4 linked regions of the Drosophila melanogaster genome follow. The protein of the gene in region 1 purifies or fractionates together with the protein of each later gene. This does not show direct contact. Each region holds a gene or a part of one and is shown in the gene's direction. Other genes may lie near its edges.

Region 1 (5,510 bases):
AGCCTTTCTGTTGCCGATACTATGCATACTACATGTATGGCAGAAAGACCTCGACAAAGGGGAACATACATACATATCTTCTTTTTTGTTAGAAAGTGTTTTATCTCGGTATTGAACAGTTTTCGACCATATGCCTTGGAAAAGTCAAATTTTTTCTGTTCGTGATCATAAATAGATATTATTCAGTATAAGCATATAAAAATCGGCTTGCCGATTTTTGTTTATTTCCTATATTATACCCATTACTTGTAAAGTAAAATCGTATATGTATTAGATTCGCTGCAATGTATGTAATTGGTAGAAGAAACCGTCTCCGATCATAGAAAGTATATGTATGTAATAGGAACGCATCGATCCCATTTTATACTCACATGTTTCCAAATGTTTACACGCTTGTTCTAACGACCACGAACCGCCCAAAAACTGCCAAAAACAATTTTAACCAAATACCTACAAATCGTTCAAAACTGTAACGCCCATATCAATTTAAACACACATAAACCCTATGTAGTATATACATACATATGTATGTGTCTAGATTAGAAAGAAACACCCATCCGAGTTGATACTTCCGTCTGCCCCTATGAATGTTGTAATGTCGGGAAGCACTCCTCTGGCTACCAAAAATTAGTAATGTAAATAAAGGAGAGGTGGGCTAATTTGATTCTAAGGTTATATATTTCTTTTTTATTGCATTTGTTTTCGGTTTGGACATCATATAGTGTCCAAATCCCGAAGTTCATTAACTAGTCTCGGAAACCTTTTTGTTCACCTGTTATGTTCTTTTTTAATTTTTAATAACCCCCTTACTTTACGAGTGAAGAGTATAAAAGAATTATAAATACTTTTTCAAGAATTCAGGTTAATATAATTATTCGATTTTATGATAGAATCTAACGTTCCGCTAACCATTTAATACAGCAAACCATATTTATTTTCAGATCAAAAATGACAACACACGATGAGGCTCAGTCATACTTCTCACGTCTTAATTCAATTTCCGAAAAAATTACCTGCGATCTCAATAAAGTTAAATCTACATACAACCAAGACGCTTGGCTTAAATTGACTTTAAACGAACAGGAAAAAATATTGAATAACCAATTAATAGATCCTGTTATATTTTCTAAGTACTGTCATAAGACTAAAGAAAACTATGCGGCACAGGATCCGTACGAAAATACTGAAGTTAGTAAAAATGATTACCGTAAATTTTGTTTCAGAGACATTGTATATTTATATAACGGCCAAGATTTACACACATATAATTATCAAAACGTTGGTTTAAAAATATTACGCGATGAAAACACCGGAGATTTTCAAGATGAACATTCGTTTCCATTTTCTTATCGAACCAAATCACAAATTAACATAGTATTAAAAGAATTTGATGATATCTGTCTTGTTGAAACTCCATTAGGCGTAAAAAAGGCCATTCATTTAAAATTGAAGACAAAAGATTCAACCAATAAAAAAATACCAATTCTCCACCTTAATTCTAATGATAAAACCGGCGTTAACACAACGGAAAGAAAGATTTCCATTCATGAAAACTTCTCAAAAACCCAAACTGTTTATATTGATGAATGTATTGAATCTAATGAGAAAATGCAACTGCTCGTTAAATGTGGATCGAAAAACAGTGTGTTAAACGACTTGTCTGATTATGAAAACGAATTTAAAGATGCACGTCAAGACGAAAATACAAAACTGTTATCCCCTGAACTAAAAATGCCTAAGGGTTTCGATTTTCTTAGCAATTGGTAAAACCTATTTAAATCTCATAGATAGTCGAAGGAGAGCCGATATTTTAGAACATAATTTCATTTGATTTCAAGGCAAAACACCAAAACATACACATTAATATTAATCGGTCGTAAGTCCAAACTTTATACATTACATTATTAAGGATTCTTTTTTAACATAGACTTAATAAAATAAGTTATGAATTTAATGGATTGCCCAAACCTGTTTCAATTCTCACTTCAATAAGGCATTCAAGCTTTAAAATTTATTAATGCATATGTTATCTCACTGTATTGTTTTAATCCCTTAAATTTCATTTGAATTGTTAGAAATGGTCGAGAGTTATATGAGTTGGAACTTGTTTGAAACAGCTCTGTTTTGAATTAATTTAAATTATATCAGCTAATTTATTTTAATCAATTAATCCTTCTGTTGTGTACCCTCTATCTGACCTCTTCGATGTGAACGGGTCACAGCACTTATTTTAGGCAGTTGTGTAAACTGGGTATTACCTAAGATTGATTAATATCGATTAGTTTAAGAAAATATCGGACATCTACCTAGAAGAGTCTGTCGTGATCCAGGCGAAGTGCGAGTGAGAGCATCGTATAGTTACTTTTTATTTAAATTGCGTGTGTTAAAATGAATTAGCACGAGTAGTGAATGTTTTTGTGTGCGTAATCTTTCGAAAACAAGCGCTTTGTCATTAAAACGAAAAGATTGCCAACAGCCCACCACGGATAGAATGTACGGAGTAATGCAGCTAAATTGAAGTAGAATAATTTTAATGTATGGTTGAAGACGTACTCAGTACGATTAAAAGCGAAACTTTCTGACATAACCTAAGTGTGCATAACCTAAATGGTCGCAAAAACCCAAGCGTTTAGTTTCGGACATACGCATGTGTGTATCAGTGCAGAATAAATTCTGTTCGCTTGTGTATCGTGCATTGGAAAAGTCTATATGTACATATGTTCCAGTCAAGAGTTGCCACGCTTTAAATCTTTTACATAATGACAAAGCAATAGGGAATTTAAATGTGTCGCATTTGCTTTGAGGTTTTCCACACCAACAGTTAAAATTTAGTAATAGTGTAATTAAAAATAAAGTAAGCATTTTGCATATTTGCATTAGTCTATACTCCACATACCTTTCCATTCCGTCTTTAAATTTTGACTAGGTGGCAATATTGCAAGCAGGAATATCTGTATGGGTTTATTTAATACACTAGTAACTGCCGTCCCCATCGTCGAACGTGCGCAGAAATTTATATTCAATTACATCGAATTATAATTATTGTTGAGTCTAATCAGTTTTCGCATTCAAGATTGTTATTAATCCCAGTTTATTTTGTGAAATATGAAAAACTATAATTGATTGTCGAATGTGTGTATGTTTTACAACACATACACACTTTGTGAACTCGTCAAAGTGGCTTGACATGCATACACACAAAAATGCACATATATTTACATATATAGAGAAAATCAACTTCTCGTTCAGTAAAGGCAAAAATTGTTGCAAATATTCGGTGAACTATTAGCGTATACACAAGTGTTCAATTTTACTATAAACGCATATTCTGGCAATAGATATTAATTTCTAATTTCTGTTTGGTAGGTTTTAGTTAGATCTCCATTTTGTGACGTTCTCAGCTTTTCGCTTGTATTTCTACACATAGGGTACAAGACACGCGAATATACTAAGTATTGTACAATGACTTCTCTACATATGCACTAGAGTACTGAAAATGTATTCATACAAATGTATATACATGTATATATCTATCGCATTAGTCTTTTTGCCAATACTTGCATATATACAGGTTGTGTAAATACATTTTAAATTCTAAGTTTATTTGAGCATAATTGCAAGTGCGAAATTAGGAAAGGGAGACATAAAATAGGGTGCTTCCGTCAATGTCTGCCTGCCCAGAGTTGACAAATTCATTTTACTTGTGTACATATGCATATGTATATTTATATACCATTACAGAGTTGTGAATTTAATTGTTTTATTTTTTGACATGCATTCGTTTTTCACACAGGAATTTGTCGTTAATGTGGGTGGGGATTCTGCCGGTTGGGCAGCAGACCTGGTAGGTCAGCGATCGCGATGCATATTTCATTTTTAAAATTCTTTATGTACATACTAAGTATACATGTTTAACTCCTGTCAAATGACTCCCACTCTTATATACCCATATGTATGTCCTCAGACTTTTTGAATCGATTATAAAGCTTAAATTTTTATGATTTCTCCTTCAGAATTTTAACTGATGTTATGCAGTTAAAAATCTGTAAAGAAGATATTGATTAAGCCTACGAAAAGCTGATCAGAATTAAAAAATTTTTTAAGAACAACGAACAATAGAAAAACTAAAAACAAACGTGCACAACGTAGGGGTCACTAGAATCTGCATGCTTATTCTCAACTGTCTAGCTTTTATGTCGAAAACGCTTCCGCTATGTAACATACTTTAGAACAAATCTGGTATACCATATACCATTTTACTCTATTAATAATGTGTATAAAGCATAAACGTATCACGGTGATTAAGTTTATTTATCCTGTGTATATACAAGAAAATAAAAAAAGAACTTAGCAATTTGATTTAGAATGAATATTTTGTAATAAAAATAATAAATGTTTTCTATATTTCTACAGAACACGGAAAGAACAAGGATTCAGATTAAGTCATTCCTTTTCGATTAAATTAAATAACTTTTAAAAATTGCCATAAATGCTTATGATAATGAAGTTAAAGATCAAGTGGATGTTGGAATAGTAAGGAATGCTACTTTTGAAGCTGACAATCAGTTAGAACACTTGAGCACTATGCGTGAAGCCCTTTTTTCCCAAGATGGCTGGGGCTGTCAGCATGTTAACCAGGATACTAATTGGGAAGTTCCCAGTTCGCCAGAACCAGCCAATAAGGATGCACCCGGTCCACCAATGTGGAAGCCAAGCATTAACAATGGTACTGATCTTTGGGAGTCCAATTTGAGAAACGGAGGTCAGCCGGCCGCACAGCAAGTTCCAAAGCCGTCGTGGGGTCATACACCATCCTCTAACTTAGGTGGAACATGGGGTGAGGACGACGATGGCGCCGATAGTAGTAGTGTGTGGACTGGAGGAGCTGTTAGCAACGCGGGATCCGGAGCTGCAGTGGGAGTAAACCAAGCCGGAGTTAATGTCGGTCCAGGCGGTGTTGTTTCGTCTGGCGGACCTCAGTGGGGACAAGGTGTCGTTGGCGTCGGACTTGGATCAACTGGTAGGCCTAATATCTATTAGAATTAATGAAGTTAAGCGCAAACGATCAGATAAAGGCTCTAGCTTTTCCCTCAAAATGTGACTAACAATACATGATAAAAACATAAAGTGTAGTAATTGAAGTTGGAGCCTTATCTGGGGAATTACCTATTCTAAGTTCTACAGAAACTTTTATTTCATTAACCCGAAATACTTTTATATTTCTGCTGTTATTTAAGGAGGTAACGGGTCAAGCAATATAACTGGATCGTCTGGAGTCGCAACAGGTAGTAGCGGAAACTCCAGCAACGCTGGTAACGGTTGGGGAGACCCTCGTGAAATACGCCCTTTGGGAGTTGGTGGCTCCATGGATATTCGAAATGTTGAACATCGCGGCGGTAACGGTTCTGGAGCAACTTCGAGCGATCCACGAGACATTCGCATGATCGATCCGCGTGACCCTATTCGAGGAGATCCCCGTGGAATATCTGGTCGTCTTAATGGGACCTCTG
Region 2 (5,257 bases), on another chromosome or scaffold:
ATAACCCCAAACCGATCACGGCACCATAAAACACTTTCGAGTTATGCGCCAAAGAAAGTCGTAATTACAATACGTTCTTCATCCAATCTTCGCCAGCTCTCAAGAAGCACCCGCATCATGTTTGGAAGACAAAGTGGACTGGGTAGTTCCAGCAACAGCAGCAACCTGGTGGAGTTCCGCGCAGGTCGCATGAACATGGTGGGCAAGATGGTGCATCCGGATCCGCGCAAGGGCCTGGTCTACATGACCCAGAGTGACGATGGCCTGATGCACTTCTGCTGGAAGGATCGCACCTCCGGCAAGGTGGAGGACGATCTCATCGTCTTCCCCGATGACTTCGAGTACAAGCGCGTCGATCAGTGCAAGACGGGCCGTGTCTATGTGCTTAAGTTCAAGTCATCGACACGCCGCATGTTCTTCTGGATGCAGGAGCCCAAGACGGACAAGGACGACGAGCAGTGCCGCCGCATCAACGAGCTGCTGAACAACCCTCCATCCGCCCACCAGCGCGGCGGCGGCGGCAGCAACGACGGCGACCTCCAGTACATGCTCAACAACATGTCGCAGCAGCAGCTGATGCAGCTCTTCGGCGGCGTTGGCCAGATGGGTGGTCTCAGCTCGCTGCTGGGCCAAATGAAGTGAGCATTTAAACCCTTGCAGCCATAGTGTCCAAGAACTAGTCAAGTAGATAGCTTCTTAACTTACAGGGTATCGTTTTTATTGTTTATAAGCATGTAATCGAAGGAATGAAGCCAGAACTTGAGTTCACCCCCTTTTTCAATATTTTCCTTTCTATATTCTCCGCAGCTCCCGGACGCCCTCGTCGCGCAACACCTCCTCATCGGGTGGCGGTGGGGCATCGGCCTTGCAGACGCCCGAAAACGTCAGTGTGCCGCGCACTCCGAGCGCTCCATCGAAATCGGGCAGCAGCCGCAGCAGCAGCAATGTGAACTCGCAGGTCGGCGAAGGTGCCGGCTCCTCCGTTGATGCGGATGCCCCCGGTAAGAACTCAACCACATCGACCACAACGGCGTCAAAATCGACCGGAGCCTATGCCAATCCATTCCAAGCCTACTTATCCAATCTCTCCCCCGAACATGGCGCAGGACGATCCCTGAATATTGACCTATCGACGGCCCTACCCGGCGCCGATGCCATCAATCAGATAATTGCCGATCCGGAGCATGTCAAGACGCTGATCGTGCACCTGCCCGAGTCGGAGGATGTGGACGATGATCGCAAGCAGCAGATCAAGGACAATATCACCTCCCCGCAGTTCCAGCAGGCTCTGGCCCAGTTCTCCAGTGCCCTGCAATCGGCCCAGCTGGGACCTGTGATCAAGCAATTCGAGTTGTCCAACGAAGCAGTGGCCGCCGCCTTCTCTGGCAATCTAGAGGATTTTGTGCGTGCTCTGGAGAAGAGTCTGCCCCCCGGTGCCACCATGGGTGGCAAACCCTCCGCCAGCGAGAAGAAGGCCAGCGATCCCGAAACCCCAACTTCAGTGGCCCGCGATGAGAACACAGATCCCGCTACCGAAAAACAGGAGGAGAAGCAAAAGTAGCTTACGTGTGCGGCTTGGTAGTCATTGATATGGAATCCGAAAGCAAATTTTTTCATGTGCTGAGTGATTTTTGGATGCTAAATAAATTCAAATGGGAGTTAATCGGTAGTTATCTATCTAATTGTGTGTTTGATATACATCAAAACGGCTTATTAATTTATATTTAAAATATTACTACTTTAATAAAAGGATACGCGTTTTGGTAAGTACTCGTCCAGCTCTTTTCAGAATGCATCATTATACTCATTATACTTGGGTTTTTGGCTTACCTAATTTAATTTAAAAAAACAAAGTCTAACGTGTACAATTTATTTTAAATTTTGAAGTTAATAATGGGGGGATATATGGAAGTAACGGTAATATTAATCCCGACAAGGTCATTTTGTTGGTGTCCCCCTAACAAAAGCTCGCTGCCCCGCTCTCTCATCGCAACACACTGGTCGTCCCTTTCTGGCGCGAATTGCGCGCTCTCTCAGCGAGAGCCGTCTCACACAGATATATACACACACAGGCACACGCAACAATATTTATTTTATTCAATTCCAAAACGGCCAGCAAATAAGTTGTGTTTGTGCAAAACTCGCGCGTTCGCAATTTTCCGAAGCTGACTCTCAATTCTCATACATAACGATCTCAAGCGATCTCCGCCAGGCGAATCAAACCCGGATATATCCAGATCTGCAGTAATTGCCATATTTTTTCGCCAATTTTTGCGTTGCGGGCTGGATGTTTTTGTATCTGTTGTTGTTGGTGCTTTCATTTTGCAGCAATCTCTGTGCCTGTGTGTGTTTGTGTGTTGGTGCTTTTGGCGGACGTGAGAAGGTGTGTGTGTCTAGTGGCAGCCTGTATGTTTTTTTTTTGCATGACTGCTTCGCGGAGCTGTGGGGAAAGCTTTTCCCTCCAAAGTAGTTGTCATAAAAAAGTTAAAAGCCGCGGCAAAAACAAAAATCAAAGCAAACACAGAAAGCGCGAAGAGAGAGGGCAGTGAGACAGAGAGAGAGAGAGTCGAGTGCCTAACGCACACCGACAACCTTTGACTCACACGCACACACACGCGCGCTGTTAAACAGGCCTGGAAGCTTGCAAAAAATAAAACTAAATAAAATAGGAGCTGCTTAAGAGTGTGTGTTGTCAAATAGCAAAGTAAACAAAAAGCTCCCCGGACTCGCAATTTCATGCATATCTCCGGCGCAACGATCTGGCAACACTAACAACAACAGCAGCCGCACAAACTGCGTTTTAACCAATTCCATTTCCATTTCCTGCACTTATCTTTCTCGTTTCTTCCAATTAGCGCTGGAAAAGTAACGTCCGCAACGGTTTAAATCCAGTCGAGACGCAAACCCCACTCAACTCCTTAATGAGTTCCCCTCCATTAAACGGAATTCACCAAAAAAAACGATTGATTTGCCGCTGATAAAGCTGATAAAAGCGCACACACACACCAAAGTCAGCTGCAATTTTGCGATAAGGTAAGTACAAAATTATGAATCTTTCAATTTGCCGGCAAATGGAGGCTTCCAGAACAGCTGCAGGAGCTGCAAGTAAAATGGAAGTGCCCCAAAATAAAAAAAAAAAAAAAACAAAAATACAGGAAACCAAAACACTAATGGCGCCTGAGCATATGCTTTGGGAAATTTTCAAGAGCGCCAAGCGTGTGAGCGCGGGGGTGCGAGAGGGACGACCGTACAGACAGTGTTTATGTTTTGGTAGAAAGGTCACATCCTTAGCTTCCAATAGAACTTTCGTTCGTTAATATCCCCGCCATCCACGTCCCTCGCGAATTACGTCACGAATCGACGAAGAAGTTCGTGTCGACAGGTTTACATGCTCTTGAACTTTTAACAAACTAATAATACCCTTTTATACAGTTATTGCGATAGGATTATATGATCCAATCCTAAACCGATTAAAATCTTATCAAAACATTGGGGAGTTAAAATTTATATGAGTTACTAACTTATAACAAAAACCAGTAATTTAAAACCAATTTGTAAGGACTTATGCTATAATTAAACAAAGCTTTTTAACGTTTCTAGCGACATATTAAAAAAAGGTTTTATAAGTATAAAAAACTTATCGGTTTCAAAAACTTAAATTTGCTATGTTATTAATGCGCAAGCTCCAATTTGCAATCTTATGATCGAAGCTATAATACCTCGTTCGCAACTTCAAAATTTAAAAGTGGGTGGTGAAAGTTTTTACGACGTGACTCCTTCAAAACGGCTGGCGAACAGGCGGGGAGAAAGCTTGCAGCCTGACATTGAACTTGGGGGCACTCTGAACAGAATTCTATTAATCACAGGGTGCCGCAGCTTTTTGGGGCAACTTTCACCAACCATTTTTGCAGCTGCCACACTCCAACAGATTGTTGCCAGTTGCAGCCATCGATTTCGTCGCAAATACGTACATATTCACACATTTAGAGCGCGCCATTTCAAAACTTTAGCTCAAAGCTTGAACTGCACAGTGCACTTTCTTCCTTGCTCCCCCATTAGAATAAGACTTCAATTCATCTCAACAGCTGTCTTGGCAACAGAGAAGCTTTCTCCACTGCCTGTTGCATCCTTGTTGTCATTACAAGAATGCAGATGATCATTCACTTGGAGCAGTAACAAATTAATGCCACAATTCATGAACAAGTCTGTAGTGGTCCACCCCAGCCACGTCCACCGTCCACTTTGCATGGCCCATTTGGTCGACTTCCTGCGGTCCAATTACCATTGGCTCCTCCCGCCCCATTGTGATTATAAGCTTTGGGACGGCAGGCGGCTCTCCGATCCGCTGACATCAGCAAGCGCAGCAAACAGCAGCCGCTGCAGCAGCAGCAGGAGCAGATGATTTTCCGGTTTGCCAGGGACCGAAAAACTGGTTTCGAATGGCGAAAAAAAAATGAAACAAACGACAGGCTGACCGAATCGAATCGAGCGCTGCCCTTTTGCACAGTCGGGCCAAAAAGACAATACAGTGCGGAGTGTTTGTTACATGTTAGAGCGTATATATATTTTGAAAAGTACGTGTGCGGAATTGAACAATACAATTGGCTTAGAAATCGACGGGCTTGATGGTGATGAACCGGGAGAGAATGAAGGCCACCAGAATGGTGGCGCACACGAAACAGAAGGCGAACATGTAGAAGCTCTCCTCGGTGAAGATGTCGGAGAATGCGGGTATATCCTGGTAGATCTTCTCGATCACCGCCAGTGTTCCTTTGTGCTTCCTCACCATCCTGATGGTTACTTCTTCTTGGTTGCCTTCTTTCCGCCGCCGGCGCCTCCTGCTAGTTTCTGTTTCTCCGCCTTGGTCAGGACCTTGTTGGTGATCTCCTCGCGCGGTGCCAAGCTGGACACGTGCTTGTTGCACAGCTGCAGCAGCTCTAGTGTGTTTAGGTTATCGCTGTTGAAGCGGATCTCCTTGACTTGGGCTTGTTCTGTGAATGATATAATATCAATAAGTGTTTGCTCTTTGAATGTTGCAGTTTCAAAAGGGTTAACTTAGTTGCCCACGCTAAAAGGAAACCAATTTTTCAATACATATTTCATATGTATTTTGGTTCCTTTTAGTTAGATATTTCAGCTGTCCCAGTTTAGGTATTCTTACCTTGCGCTGAATCAATCAGGGCAAACTTGATGTTGGCCGGCTGGCGATCGCAGACGATTTCTGGCTTGACCACGCACTTGGGATTCGTAGCTGCCA
Region 3 (5,618 bases), on another chromosome or scaffold:
AATCACAAACCCGTGATTTGTAACACTATTCGTTGTGAGTGCCAAGCAGTAGTGACTGAACTATCGGTTGCTGAACACGCTTCCCAGGGAATGCAAAATTTTCATTTCGGCAATAATTAAAAAATCCACGAGTGCAAACAAATTTGAAGTAATTTTCCTAGCATACATATACAAACGAGCCCAAAAGCTAAACTTGAAACACCAAAGCAACCGGAAGGAAGTGGAAAAGGAGGTCGACGACGATCAGCCATATATTCTGCCTCAATTGCCCGTGTGTGCGTGCGTGTGTGTGGTAGTAGTAGTATTTTTTCATTTCTGTTTTCGCTGTACGTGCGGATTGATTCATATTGTTTCATTACGTGAGCTATTGCAATATTGTACACACTGGGCCGAGGACATAGCCAATCGGATTTTTCTCATGAAACCATTAAACCGAGTTTAATGTTTATTTGATTTACGCGTAAATAGATGCCGCCTGCAATGTAGAGCTGCTGATGGCCCCTTTTATACGGGGGCCGCGGCCAATGAATCTACAGACCCAAAAAAGAACAAAAAAAAACCAAGGAAGGCAGAGACAAAAACAAATTGCGCCGTAGGTGAAATGAAAAGCGCCAAGAAGCAACAGCGAATACGTCAAATATCTCTAATCTCCAATACCAGTGCACGCTAAACGTGTGTGCTGAACAAAAAATTCTGGTGGCCTCCAACAAAAACAACAGCAACAAGAAACATCCGCTGAGGAATTGACAACTGATACGTAGAATTATGAACGTAGAGAGCCAACTGAAGACACCGCCAACGCACATTCGAAATCTGGTCAAGCACGTGAACAAGCGAAATTTTAATGAGAGCAGCGAGCAAATAAATCAGGTAGGTGCCCAAGTTATTCTACCAAAGTTTCCATGAACCATTTCCAATTCATTTTGTCAACAATAACAACAACATTTTGTAGGGGGCGGGGGTTTAGTGTTGCCAAACCGACAACATATCGCACCTGGCCAACCAGAGTTGCCAATTGTTCGCACTCACGAATGGGCTATTGCCATTTCACTCGCTCGTGCATTTTTGCCGACGCCATTACAGTTTTTTGGTAAAGGCAGCTGAAAAAATTTCTCTGCACGGCGTTGCGCGTTTTGTGAGCGTTTTGTTTAAGCTAAAAGTTTTATAGAATGTGTAAAACCAGGCCAATTGTGTGCGCTTAGCCACAAACGTGTTTCGTGAGTTGATGGCAGTGTGAATTTTGCAGCGTAGTAGTGCGAAATCGAATTGCGAAATTCGAATTGGGAAGCCCAAGCCAAGCGCAGGGCTTTTCGGCCCCGAAACTTCTGTTTTTTCATTGCCAAACGAGAGAAACCAAATTGAATAGTAAGTTCGTGGGACAAATTGCGTGGGAATATCAATTGCGGCCGCTTTCTTTTCGCTAGAGTTGCAATATGTCGCACTTTTTCCTGTGACCCCCTTCCTTTCGCGCACCGTCATGCTCTCTTCTCTCCTTACCCATGTAACGTTTCGCCAACGTGTGCGAGCGAGAGGGCGCGTGTGTAATTTGTTGTGGAGCAGCTGCGACGGCGGGGCCAAAGCTGTTGTCTCGCTCCCCCGTTCGGAGTGAGGCCTTGATTCCGGACTCCGAGCTCCGGATCAAATATTTCAACAGTTTTGGATCCGTAGGGAGGGAGGGGGATATCTAGCCTCCTAGAAAAGTTTTGCCATTCAAATTAGTATCATAACAAATACTTGGCTTAGAATGGCACCATTTGCCCAACAATCCCCTAAAAAGTAATCGTTTGTGGGACAAACTATGCTACAGATCCCGTTTTCTTGACAGTAAATGGCATATTCCTCAAAAATTAAAAAAAATGATAAAAAAAAATGATAACAAAACAGAGTCATATACTTCAGTATTTTGAAATTCTCAACAATCTATATCTGCCATTTAAAAAGCCTGATAAGTTTTCAAGTTATTCGAACTCAGTAGGATTACCAAATTTTCACTGATATTCAATGTTGGAATGAAGTACTAGGATAACCCAACGGAATTTATAGTAAGAAAGGTCTAGGAATTTGTTGGATTCCATGGAGAAATTATCGGATAGAAAATACATTAACTAACTTAACGATAGCCCAATTTGAGATATAGTCTTCCATTTAGTTATAGCATTCAAGATAATCTCAGAAACCTGTGAGCCCAACAATGGTGCACCTAAACTGGAATTCCCAATGATAAAATTCATGTTTTAACCCTCTGGTTGCGCTTTTAAAAAGCCAATTGGGTAAAGTTTTTAAGCGGGCAAGAAATAATGACTTAATGGATTTACTTTTGAAAACAGTTGCCTGGAGTTAGAAATAATCCCTCCAAAATGTTACTTTACATCTTGCCCTGTATCCGTAAACACATATCCAATTGTACAGAGAAAAGTTGAGACACTCACAGAACATAATAGAACCTGTCAAAATTTCCAAGTTTGCGATGAAAATCACATAAAAAAAAATCCCGGTCACCGCAGAATCTGAGGAATCGTTTGAAACATACACTGTCCCTTATACAGTGATATGTGTCCCAGATTGCGGGCAGTCGCTGTCAAGGCACTTATATTGGCTTCCAAACCCTACGCAATGCAGCTCTTTGATTCTAAACCATACATTACTGATAGCATTTACGACATCTTGCAGTTCGTTAAAGAGCACGGCCTGGAAGCGGATCGCAGCAGCCTGCGCCACCTGTTCTCCGTGATCAACTTCAGCGATCTCGTGCCATCAGTTACGGTCCAGCTGCAGGCGAAGCTCCTGGGCATCCAGTTGGAGCGTCAGCTTCACAGTTCATCGTTTGTGTCCAACATCTGCTACGCTTTTGACCAGTTCTTCGCCAGCAACCAGAAGGTAAGTTGAGTTTACAATGCCCACAATGTGTTGATTACTTATGGATACTCATTCCTAAGCAGTCCCTGAAGCCTGTTGCGGTAGCGGATCTCGTTGGCCAGGTCGCCCGACTGACCGGCATCAACAAGGTTTGTGAGTGCGTCTTTGCCTTGGCCTTGACCCACTCCTCGTACACAGAACTCAAACATTCTGCCAGGAACAACCTAAAAGGTAGCCTCAGCGAACTTATAGACTCTTACTTGGGTAATAAAGGCACCGGCCCAGCCGACAGCGGTCTCCGGGAGATCTCCTTCGATCTACTGCAGTATTTGTTGTGCTGCCTTAGCGAGTACGTACAACCGCAGGTGGAAGCACAGTTTTTGATCAAGCTTCGTGAGGAGTTTCCGCGCCAGGCGGTACCGCTGGTTCTAGCGCCGTTCCTTTACGGCTCGACGACGGCGACGATTGCGGGAGCAGGTGCCAGCGAAACGGATGCGGAGGCCGAAGCGACGACTAATAGCAACAGCTCCAGTTTCGAAGCAGATGCTTTGAACGAGGTGGGAATCGAGGATATTTATGACCATTTAAGCGAGATAATATTCACCAACCAGGTGCGTAAGACACTCATTGAAAAAGACAATTCGCTAATTGAATGTTGTGTTGCAGGGCAAAAATAATATTATGGACACATCTTGGATTAATCTAATCCTTGAAATCGGTTATGAATTTACATCGAGCGTTGAAGAGTGTAAGAATCATTTGTGTTCCCGCGAGCGAGAACGCGCTGAGCTCCAGTCCAAAGATGTCGCCAAGATCGTGGGTCTTATGTGCCGACGGCACTCCTCCCTGCTCGATTGTAATGTGAATCTACCGACGCCGGCGAACTTCTGGCCTGGTCAGGGACAGGGCGGTGGCAGCAACAGCAGTGGCTCTTCGCAGACACAAATCACTCCGCAGCAACAGAACCCGGGCAGCAGTAACAACAACGATGGCAGCGATGGCAATTCGTCCAGTGATAAGAAGGACAAGAAGGAGACGACGGAGGCCACGCAAACTTGGAAGCCAGATGTCTTTGTGCAGGCGCTCAAGGAGGTGGTGCCTCAGCTCAACTGGAAGGACGTGTGCATGGGTAATAGCTAGATAATTGCTTCGCAATCGCCAATCTATAGGAATATCATTCTTAATTTTTAGAACTTGATCATCCCGAGTTCGTGCTGAAGGATCGCATCGGTTTGGAGCTTTTGCTCACCATCCTTCGGCTGGCCACTGGCTCTAACATATTTCCACATCCAGAATGCATTTACCGTCACTGGGCAAACACGGAAGGTCAGCTGTCGCTTATCGCGACAATGCTGAAGAACCCGGATCTCTTTTCCTTCGCCGACTTTGTATTTAGCCAGCCAGCGTTGGATGTGCTTAAGACGGCTCCGGATGCGGACAATAAGGAGATCTCGTCCTGGAAGTCGCTTCACCTGGTGGAGGTGCTGCTCTCCATTGCGGACAAGGGATACTATACGCAGGTCCATGAGCTATTCAAGTTCCCAGCGCAGAACTGTCCCGATGTGCTATTTTTGGCCTTATTGAACACAAGTCCGCCTATGACGCCACTGCGTCAGGATCTGTTTAACCAACTGATACCAACGTTCCTTGGCAACCATCCCAACTCGAACGTGATCTTGGCCAGCGCCTGGAGCTCGAACAACTTCCAACTTCGTTCCAATATCATGAATGCTATGTCCGAGTGGTATCTCCGAGGCAATGAGTTCGATCAGGTGAAACTGTCGCGCATCCTGGATCTTGCCCAGGATTTAAAAGCGCTATCAGCGCTGCTCAACGCCCGTTCATTTTTATTCATTATCGACCTGGCTTGCCTTGCCTCTCGGCGCGAGTACCTGAAGCTGGAAAAGTGGCTTACCGATAAAATTCGCGAACATGGAGAGCCTTTTATGCAGGCTATAATCAAGGTTCTGCACCGCCGCTGCCCGCAGGTTATCAACGCAAAAGTGCCAGAGGATCAGCTGCCTCCCAAGCAGGCGCAGCTTTTGCCCGAGACAGTTACCACCATGATCAACTGTCTGCAAACGTGCATCAATAACTGCATGCAGCCGGAGATGGTCGAAGTCATCATGCAAATGACCGCGAACGTGGCGATTATGGCTAACAAGGCGCGTGCCCAACAGCAGCAGCAGCCAGGATTGGTTCCGCCGCCTCCACCAACAATTCTGCGCGGCCATCGTGGTATGGATCTGCCTGGAGGCATAGTCCCTCCGCCACCGCAGCAACCGTTCTCCGGAAACCTCAACGCGCAGATGTTTGGACCAGGAATGGATCCGCTAACGAATATGTCCAACAACTTAGCCGGCCTCAACCTCAGCGGCCCGAACGGAGCATTTAATTTTGGAAACATGCTAAGTAAGTGGCATTCATAGGCAATGAGTGCATAATCTATCACAGATGCCTCTTAATCCTATCTAACGAAATTCTACGTGCAATTTCAGCTTCTCCATCGCGTCTGATGACTCCGGGAGCCAATCCCTATCCGCTGAACCTCATGCAGATGCCGCAGGCTCCGCCACCACCCAACGTAGGAAACCTAGGCCGCATGCTGCCAGGGGGTCCACAACAGCAGACTCCAACGCCGACTCCAACGGCCCCCAATCCAAACAACCCTGTGATGGCCGATCTCCAGATACCTGTGTCAAAGGAAGTTGAAGACGAGGTCAACTCATACTTTCAGCGCATCTACAACCACCAGCCGAATC
Region 4 (5,587 bases), on another chromosome or scaffold:
CACAGAACAACACATGCCTGGAACACCTTTTGAACGGAGAAAACAGTTCCTGCGATGTACGGGAAACCGGCCCCATCACCGACGTGTTCGAGGCAGAGAGAGGTTACATCTTCGCATTCAACGTGAACAAACTGAAGGTATCCCTAACAAACGGCTCCGAGCTCTCAATAATGGGGTCAGCCATCATCAGATACATTAACGAAACAATACAGATTAACGGTATCGATTACGACGGCACGGTTGACACGTTCCCTGAACAGACGGATTTTGATCTTCCCCCCATGCGAAAAGTAACTAGGAATACCACTATTACGGTACTAAGCCTAGAAAAACTGCACCTCGAAGCCACCCAAACAATGGATAAAATCCTGGCCGTCCATCACAATACTATACAGCACACCTGGACACTCTACACTCTGCTCGGATTGGTAACGTTCCTAGCAGTCATCTTATGGCTGCACCGACGAACGAAACACATCGTCCACATCCACGAGGATCATCACGTACCAATCTACGCGTCATCCATACCTTCGCTATGGCCGTCACTTCGAACTGGGGGGGGAGGAGTTACCACCCCACCCCCTAAACCCCCACGCCTCTAAACAAATCATCGGACACTCAACCGGGAAGACGGCAACTGGAACACCGCATCCGGCCGAATGCTGACATTCCGGCCGAATGCTGACATTACACAAAAGTCGCACTGCAACATTGTCCCCAGCTAGCCAGCCACATGCCGAGTCGGCATGTTCATTATGCTTACAATTAAGAACCTATGTACTTATGTATAAGACGAAAACGGAGGACTCGAGTAGCCACTCTCTGACAATAAACTTCATACTGATTTTGAACTTCAAGAAAGTCAGTCGTATTCTTTATTGGAAATCTTCACACTACAACTATCTGCTGAAACTTAAAAACCTTCATACATTTACACATCATATCTTCACAAAAGGCTCCACCCTCGATCACGGACTTAACTCCCGCCCTCGCTCCCCCTCGCACTCTTTCAATGTTTTCAAGGCGAATAATGCAAGAGCGCCCCAGCTAGACGTCTCGCTCTCGCACAGCTGTGTCTTGCTAGGGTGGAGAGAGGGAGAGAGGTGTTTTACTCTTACAGCTGAGCTGCCACGATTTGTTTGTATACAGAATGAGGCGCACACACACACGCGCACTTGCTGTTTTTCTTCTTTCGCTTTTAAAGCTCTTACTTCCTTTTTTTGATTCTAGTTTACAAGGGCTTATAGTTCAAGCCGCTGTAAATAATCCAAAAACTCACCTGGTACATGGCCGTCTTGGGCAAATCCAGGCAGACGGCACAGCACAGGGCATTGGAGATGCGGTGGGCCAGCTTTTCGTGCATTCCCGAGGCGGCTGCGGCACTGGAAAGCAAGCTGCTGCCGCTGCTGCTGGTGGCACCACCGCCCCCTCCGTCCAACAACTGTTTCTTGGCCGGCGGTTCTCCGCTGCCCTGCGTGTCCAGCGGCACGCCCACCACATTGCCGCCGCCCACCGACGAGGAGGACGACGATGTGGAAGAGGAAGAGGCCGAGGAGGCGGAGCTGGTCGTGGCCACCGCCTGGTTGTCGCCCAGGAGCGGTAGGTTCGAGGACGACGGCGGCTGTTGGACCGCCGAACTGGAGGATTCCACCGACATGATTGGAAATTTTCTTGGAATAATGTTTGTTGTGTTTTTCTTTGCCACTCGCTTCGTACACAAACTCCCACACACACGACCACTAAACTACTACACACACACAAGCAATACCCAGTTTGCTCTCTCTCTCTTTCGCTCGCACACTAAGTATGGCACTTTCTTTCAATTGCCACCTTTCCCCGCTGTCCGTGTCGTGTCGTTCTCTTCTGTGTTCTTCCGTTCTGTTCTGTTTGCAAGCTTTTTGTCCGCCGACACGTCCGCTCGCCAAAAAATTTGTTGTCTTTCTAGAGAGTGTTGTGCGGTGTGACCAAATCTTATATTAGGCAAAATACTAGTATAACGTATCGATGTTATTGGCAAAGCCTATCGATGTTTTTCTATTGTCTGTGTTTCTCCAGCCCTGGTTGATCGTTAGCAGGGACACCATCCCCTTTACAAAGTAATAAAATAACAAATATTATTAAATTAACCATTTCAAAATAAAATAGCATTAAAATAATATAGCAAAATCTGCCTTCATATATATAATTTTACAAGTATATTATTGAAAACGAATCCATTCGTGTTTAATGTGCTGCCCTTATATCCGGCAGTACGGAACTCGTCACTCGCGAGATGCGGTCACACTGCTTGCGGCAAACGGAAAACATGTAAGAAATTAAATATTGTGATTTTGTCTTTAAAATGTACAAAAGTTTGACAAAACACAAACGGCAGGTTCTTTATGAAGTCACCTCTCGCAAAGTGAACTATGACTGGTCAGTGGAGGTACGGAAAACGTGGATTAAAGAGCGAAAAATCGCAGTTTTCTCAGCAGACATTTTTGTATCACTTCGCTGTGCGCTGTGTGTTTGGCATTTTTTGTGTTTGTGTGTGTGTGTGCAACAGCGGCATCAATTTGAAAAATAACAAAAACAAATCGTTGGCGTGTTGAACAAAAAACTATACGTATTTGCTATCTGGCTTGCGTTATAAGAACCATTTGGACAAATTGCGTCTTAAAAATTTGGTGACCAAGATGGCTTCAATTTCATTTTCGGTGGTGAATTAAAAACTTTAATGAAAATAAAAACTTAATGAATTGACTTTTAATTCACGTGCAATTATTATGAAAATTTTTGAAAATTAAAATAAAAATATTTCCAAAAACGTTGTAACAAAACTACACTTATAAATTGGCTTTTGGCTTGCTTAGTGAACTTAGTTAATTATTTCCAGCTGTTCCCACTCAAAAAACAAATCGTATACATATGTGTTCTTATTTCCTTTGCTCCTGCTTTTTCTCTTCCCCTTCTTTTCGTTCCCTTCCCCTTTGCGTCCTCTTCCCCTTTTCCTAGCCAGCTGTTTGTCGCGTTCCACAAATATGGCTGGAGTGTGGATCGCGTTTGGAGCCCAGGCTCCCACATTTCTCTATGTGGAACGCAACCTGTGGCCAGCTGTTGGGTCCTGTTGAACTCCCCCCAGCCAAAAACTTACATATGTATATGTATTTATTTTGTGTATATATGCATGTGTGTATAACAACGCCAATTGCTAGGGTTTCTGCAAAACGTCCTGGCCACTTGAAGGTGAAGTGTTACAATACCATAAAGGGGTTTCGCCATTTTTAAAAGTTATTTTATTACATTATATTCAATAATGGAACTTCAGTAGCGTGTCAAAGGATTTCTCTTTGAAAGAATACGTATTTCATATCCAGCATTTATCAGCTGAAAAACATGAGGGACTTTATACAATCTGTTAAATTTCTTTGCATAAAATGATATATATGTTAATTAAAATTATTAACAATAGCTAAAGTCCATGTAACCCCTTGAGCGCGGATGTTTTCCCAACACTCCTCGAATGGAATCCACATCCACTTTGTTGCACACACAGCTGGCAGTTGTTGTTTTTATCCGACCTCCTGTGCACACACACACACAGACGGACGTACATGTATACAACACTCGGGGGTCGTTTGTGGACTCCATTTGGCTTGGCTGTTGGATCTTCTTTGCGTTTTCTTCATTCGTGCAGCGCCAATCGCGCGGTGTGTGTGTTGCGTTTTTCTTATTTGCAAAATCGTTGGAAAATGGTAATGAAAATGTATACAATATAGCAACAGCAGCTCCTTTCAAGGAAATATCCTCATTAAAGTAATTACGGTACTGAAAGCAATTCAAAAGCTAACAATGAAACAGGCAATTAACTACACAATATGTTGGCTTAGGTTCAGTGTGTATGTATTTTGGATGGTGTTAAATATAAAACTCTAAAAATATGAGTAACCAAGTGCGAAATGAAAAAAAGTGTGGAAAACGTAAGCAAATATGCGCGCAATTGTGTCTGTATATGTGTAGGAAAAAGCGTCCTCGTACACCCACACAGACTCACTTTGGAAAATTTAATGAAATCCAAGCTATACCGCCCTCTCACTCCCACTCACTGTTGCGTTTCGGGATTTCATTTTGTCGCCCCGTTTTGCAAAAACAAACAACTGTTTTTCGCTTACCGTTACTTATTTTAATTCAATGTTCTTCTCTTTCTCGCTTTTTACAGTCGACGCGCCTCAATTGTTAATCATTTGCCCGAAAATGCATTTCAACTGCAAGAAACTTACGTGAAAAAGTGAAAGAAAAAAATATTTTCGAAACGTACAATGTGAAAATGTGTTATTTGAAACTTAGCAGTTAAGCGCGGATTGTATGTATTATTTAAATTTTTGTTTCAATATTTTCTACAAAATTATTAAAAAGAACTACAAAAAAATCGAAAACAAAACGAAAAAACCAAGAAAAAGTTTTTAACTCAGTGCACATTAAAACGAAAACAAACGCAAAAACAAAGCGTAACGAAACGAGAAGGACCACGAAAAGAAAGAGAGCGCACGAGGAATTGGCGAAGGCGGGAGCGAAAGAGAAAAATGTCAACGTTCTTGAACAATTTCTTCCCGGCAGGTAAGCAAAAACAAAGCCAGAAAAGCAAAGGAAATCAAACACAAGCAAAGACAGGGAACGTAAGAGCAGAACCACAGCTGGTGGCAGGAGCGTATTGGAGAGGGGTTGGCGGGGTGAAATGACCCCCCCATCAAACAAGTTGTTCATATACATAGTTATTCTATGATTGTAATAATAAAATTGGTATGTTTATGAGCTTAACTCAGTGATTAATCATAGATCAGCTTTCTTATATTGATCGGTTAGTACGTTATTTTATCTGCCCCTTTTTAAATCCTTCGCACGCCTCTGGCTGGGTGGCATTTAATTGAAAGTCACCTTTGGCATATTTCATAAGCGTTCTCACCGGGGTCATCCTGTAATTCAATTCTGCGCCTCTCTTGTTTTTTCTCTCCACTGGCGGCATGTAAATTGAATTTTCCTACCGAAGCGCATATTGTGATTATTGGCAATTACATGGACGTGACCGAGGAACAAAGGAGGCGAAGGAGATAAGTAGGCAGAGAATGCGAGAGTGAGAGAGAGAGGGATAGGGACGGGATGGAGTAGCGGCCTAGAACAGAGAATCTTGGCATAATCAATCTGCCCCAAAACAATCTATACACTTCCCTTTAATTACGTACATTCCTCGCTGCAATACCATCGATTATCGTTTTGTTATTCCTGGAAACGCTCAGATTCCCATTTACTGCTCCTTGCAACCCCTCTGGGATCAGGAACAAGTTCCACACACTCTGCATTCTCCTCATGCATTTTCTTTGTCCTGCGAAAGAGATGGTCATAGAGAGGCCGAGACAGGGAAACTCATACAGGTACGGCAGGAAAAACCACTTCCTCGCTTCCCTGCCCTTTGCCAAAACCAGAGCCAAAACAATGAGACCAGCACAAAGGCTGCTTTCCAACGGGCACTGAAGCTTGGGATACTCTCTTTAGGGTGACTTTGTACAGTGTAACATTAACATATTATCCCATTATACCATAAATATTTGAT

Evidence for each region.
Region 2: the proteins of gw (region 1) and AGO1 purify together in Drosophila melanogaster (affinity purification with western blotting; 17 studies listed by BioGRID, with this or other methods). This does not show direct contact.
Region 3: the proteins of gw (region 1) and Not1 purify together in Drosophila melanogaster (affinity purification with western blotting, with the first as the bait; 2 studies listed by BioGRID). This does not show direct contact.
Region 4: the proteins of gw (region 1) and PAN3 purify together in Drosophila melanogaster (affinity purification with western blotting, with the first as the bait; 2 studies listed by BioGRID). This does not show direct contact.

The regions. Positions count from the first base shown.
Region 1 is NC_004353.4:657,412-662,921, reverse strand, and holds the start of gw (gawky), read left to right. Parts: upstream 1-2,313; 5' UTR 2,314-2,493; intron 2,494-2,938; exon of another isoform or gene 2,939-3,362; intron 3,363-4,413; 5' UTR 4,414-4,584; coding exon 4,585-5,020; intron 5,021-5,237; coding exon 5,238-5,510. Other genes in the region: CG46466 (uncharacterized protein), read left to right, coding at 949-1,767. UniProt on the Drosophila melanogaster protein: Required for gene silencing mediated by micro-RNAs (miRNAs). Silences both polyadenylated and deadenylated mRNAs. Required for miRNA-mediated translational repression and mRNA decay. Not required for miRNA target recognition.
Region 2 is NT_033778.4:13,954,949-13,960,205, reverse strand, and holds the start of AGO1 (Argonaute-1), read left to right. Parts: upstream 1-2,116; 5' UTR 2,117-2,244; intron 2,245-2,855; 5' UTR 2,856-3,033; intron 3,034-4,525; exon of another isoform or gene 4,526-4,606; coding exon of another isoform or gene 4,607-4,789; exon of another isoform or gene 4,790-4,797; coding exon of another isoform or gene 4,798-4,991; intron 4,992-5,161; coding exon of another isoform or gene 5,162-5,257. Other genes in the region: Rpn13 (regulatory particle non-ATPase 13), read left to right, coding at 118-638, 808-1,561; CG33155 (uncharacterized protein), read right to left, coding at 4,607-4,789; mRpL53 (mitochondrial ribosomal protein L53), read right to left, coding at 4,798-4,991, 5,162-5,257.
Region 3 is NT_033778.4:9,573,437-9,579,054, reverse strand, and holds the start of Not1 (Not1), read left to right. Parts: upstream 1-2,359; 5' UTR 2,360-2,550; coding exon 2,551-2,877; intron 2,878-2,936; coding exon 2,937-3,467; intron 3,468-3,522; coding exon 3,523-3,985; intron 3,986-4,047; coding exon 4,048-5,268; intron 5,269-5,354; coding exon 5,355-5,618.
Region 4 is NT_037436.4:3,068,883-3,074,469, forward strand, and holds the start of PAN3 (Poly(A) specific ribonuclease subunit PAN3), read left to right. Parts: upstream 1-2,250; 5' UTR 2,251-2,425; intron 2,426-3,664; exon of another isoform or gene 3,665-3,878; intron 3,879-4,198; 5' UTR 4,199-4,562; coding exon of another isoform or gene 4,563-4,596; intron 4,597-5,587. Other genes in the region: CG32486 (uncharacterized protein), read right to left, coding at 1,280-1,657. UniProt on the Drosophila melanogaster protein: Regulatory subunit of the poly(A)-nuclease (PAN) deadenylation complex, one of two cytoplasmic mRNA deadenylases involved in general and miRNA-mediated mRNA turnover.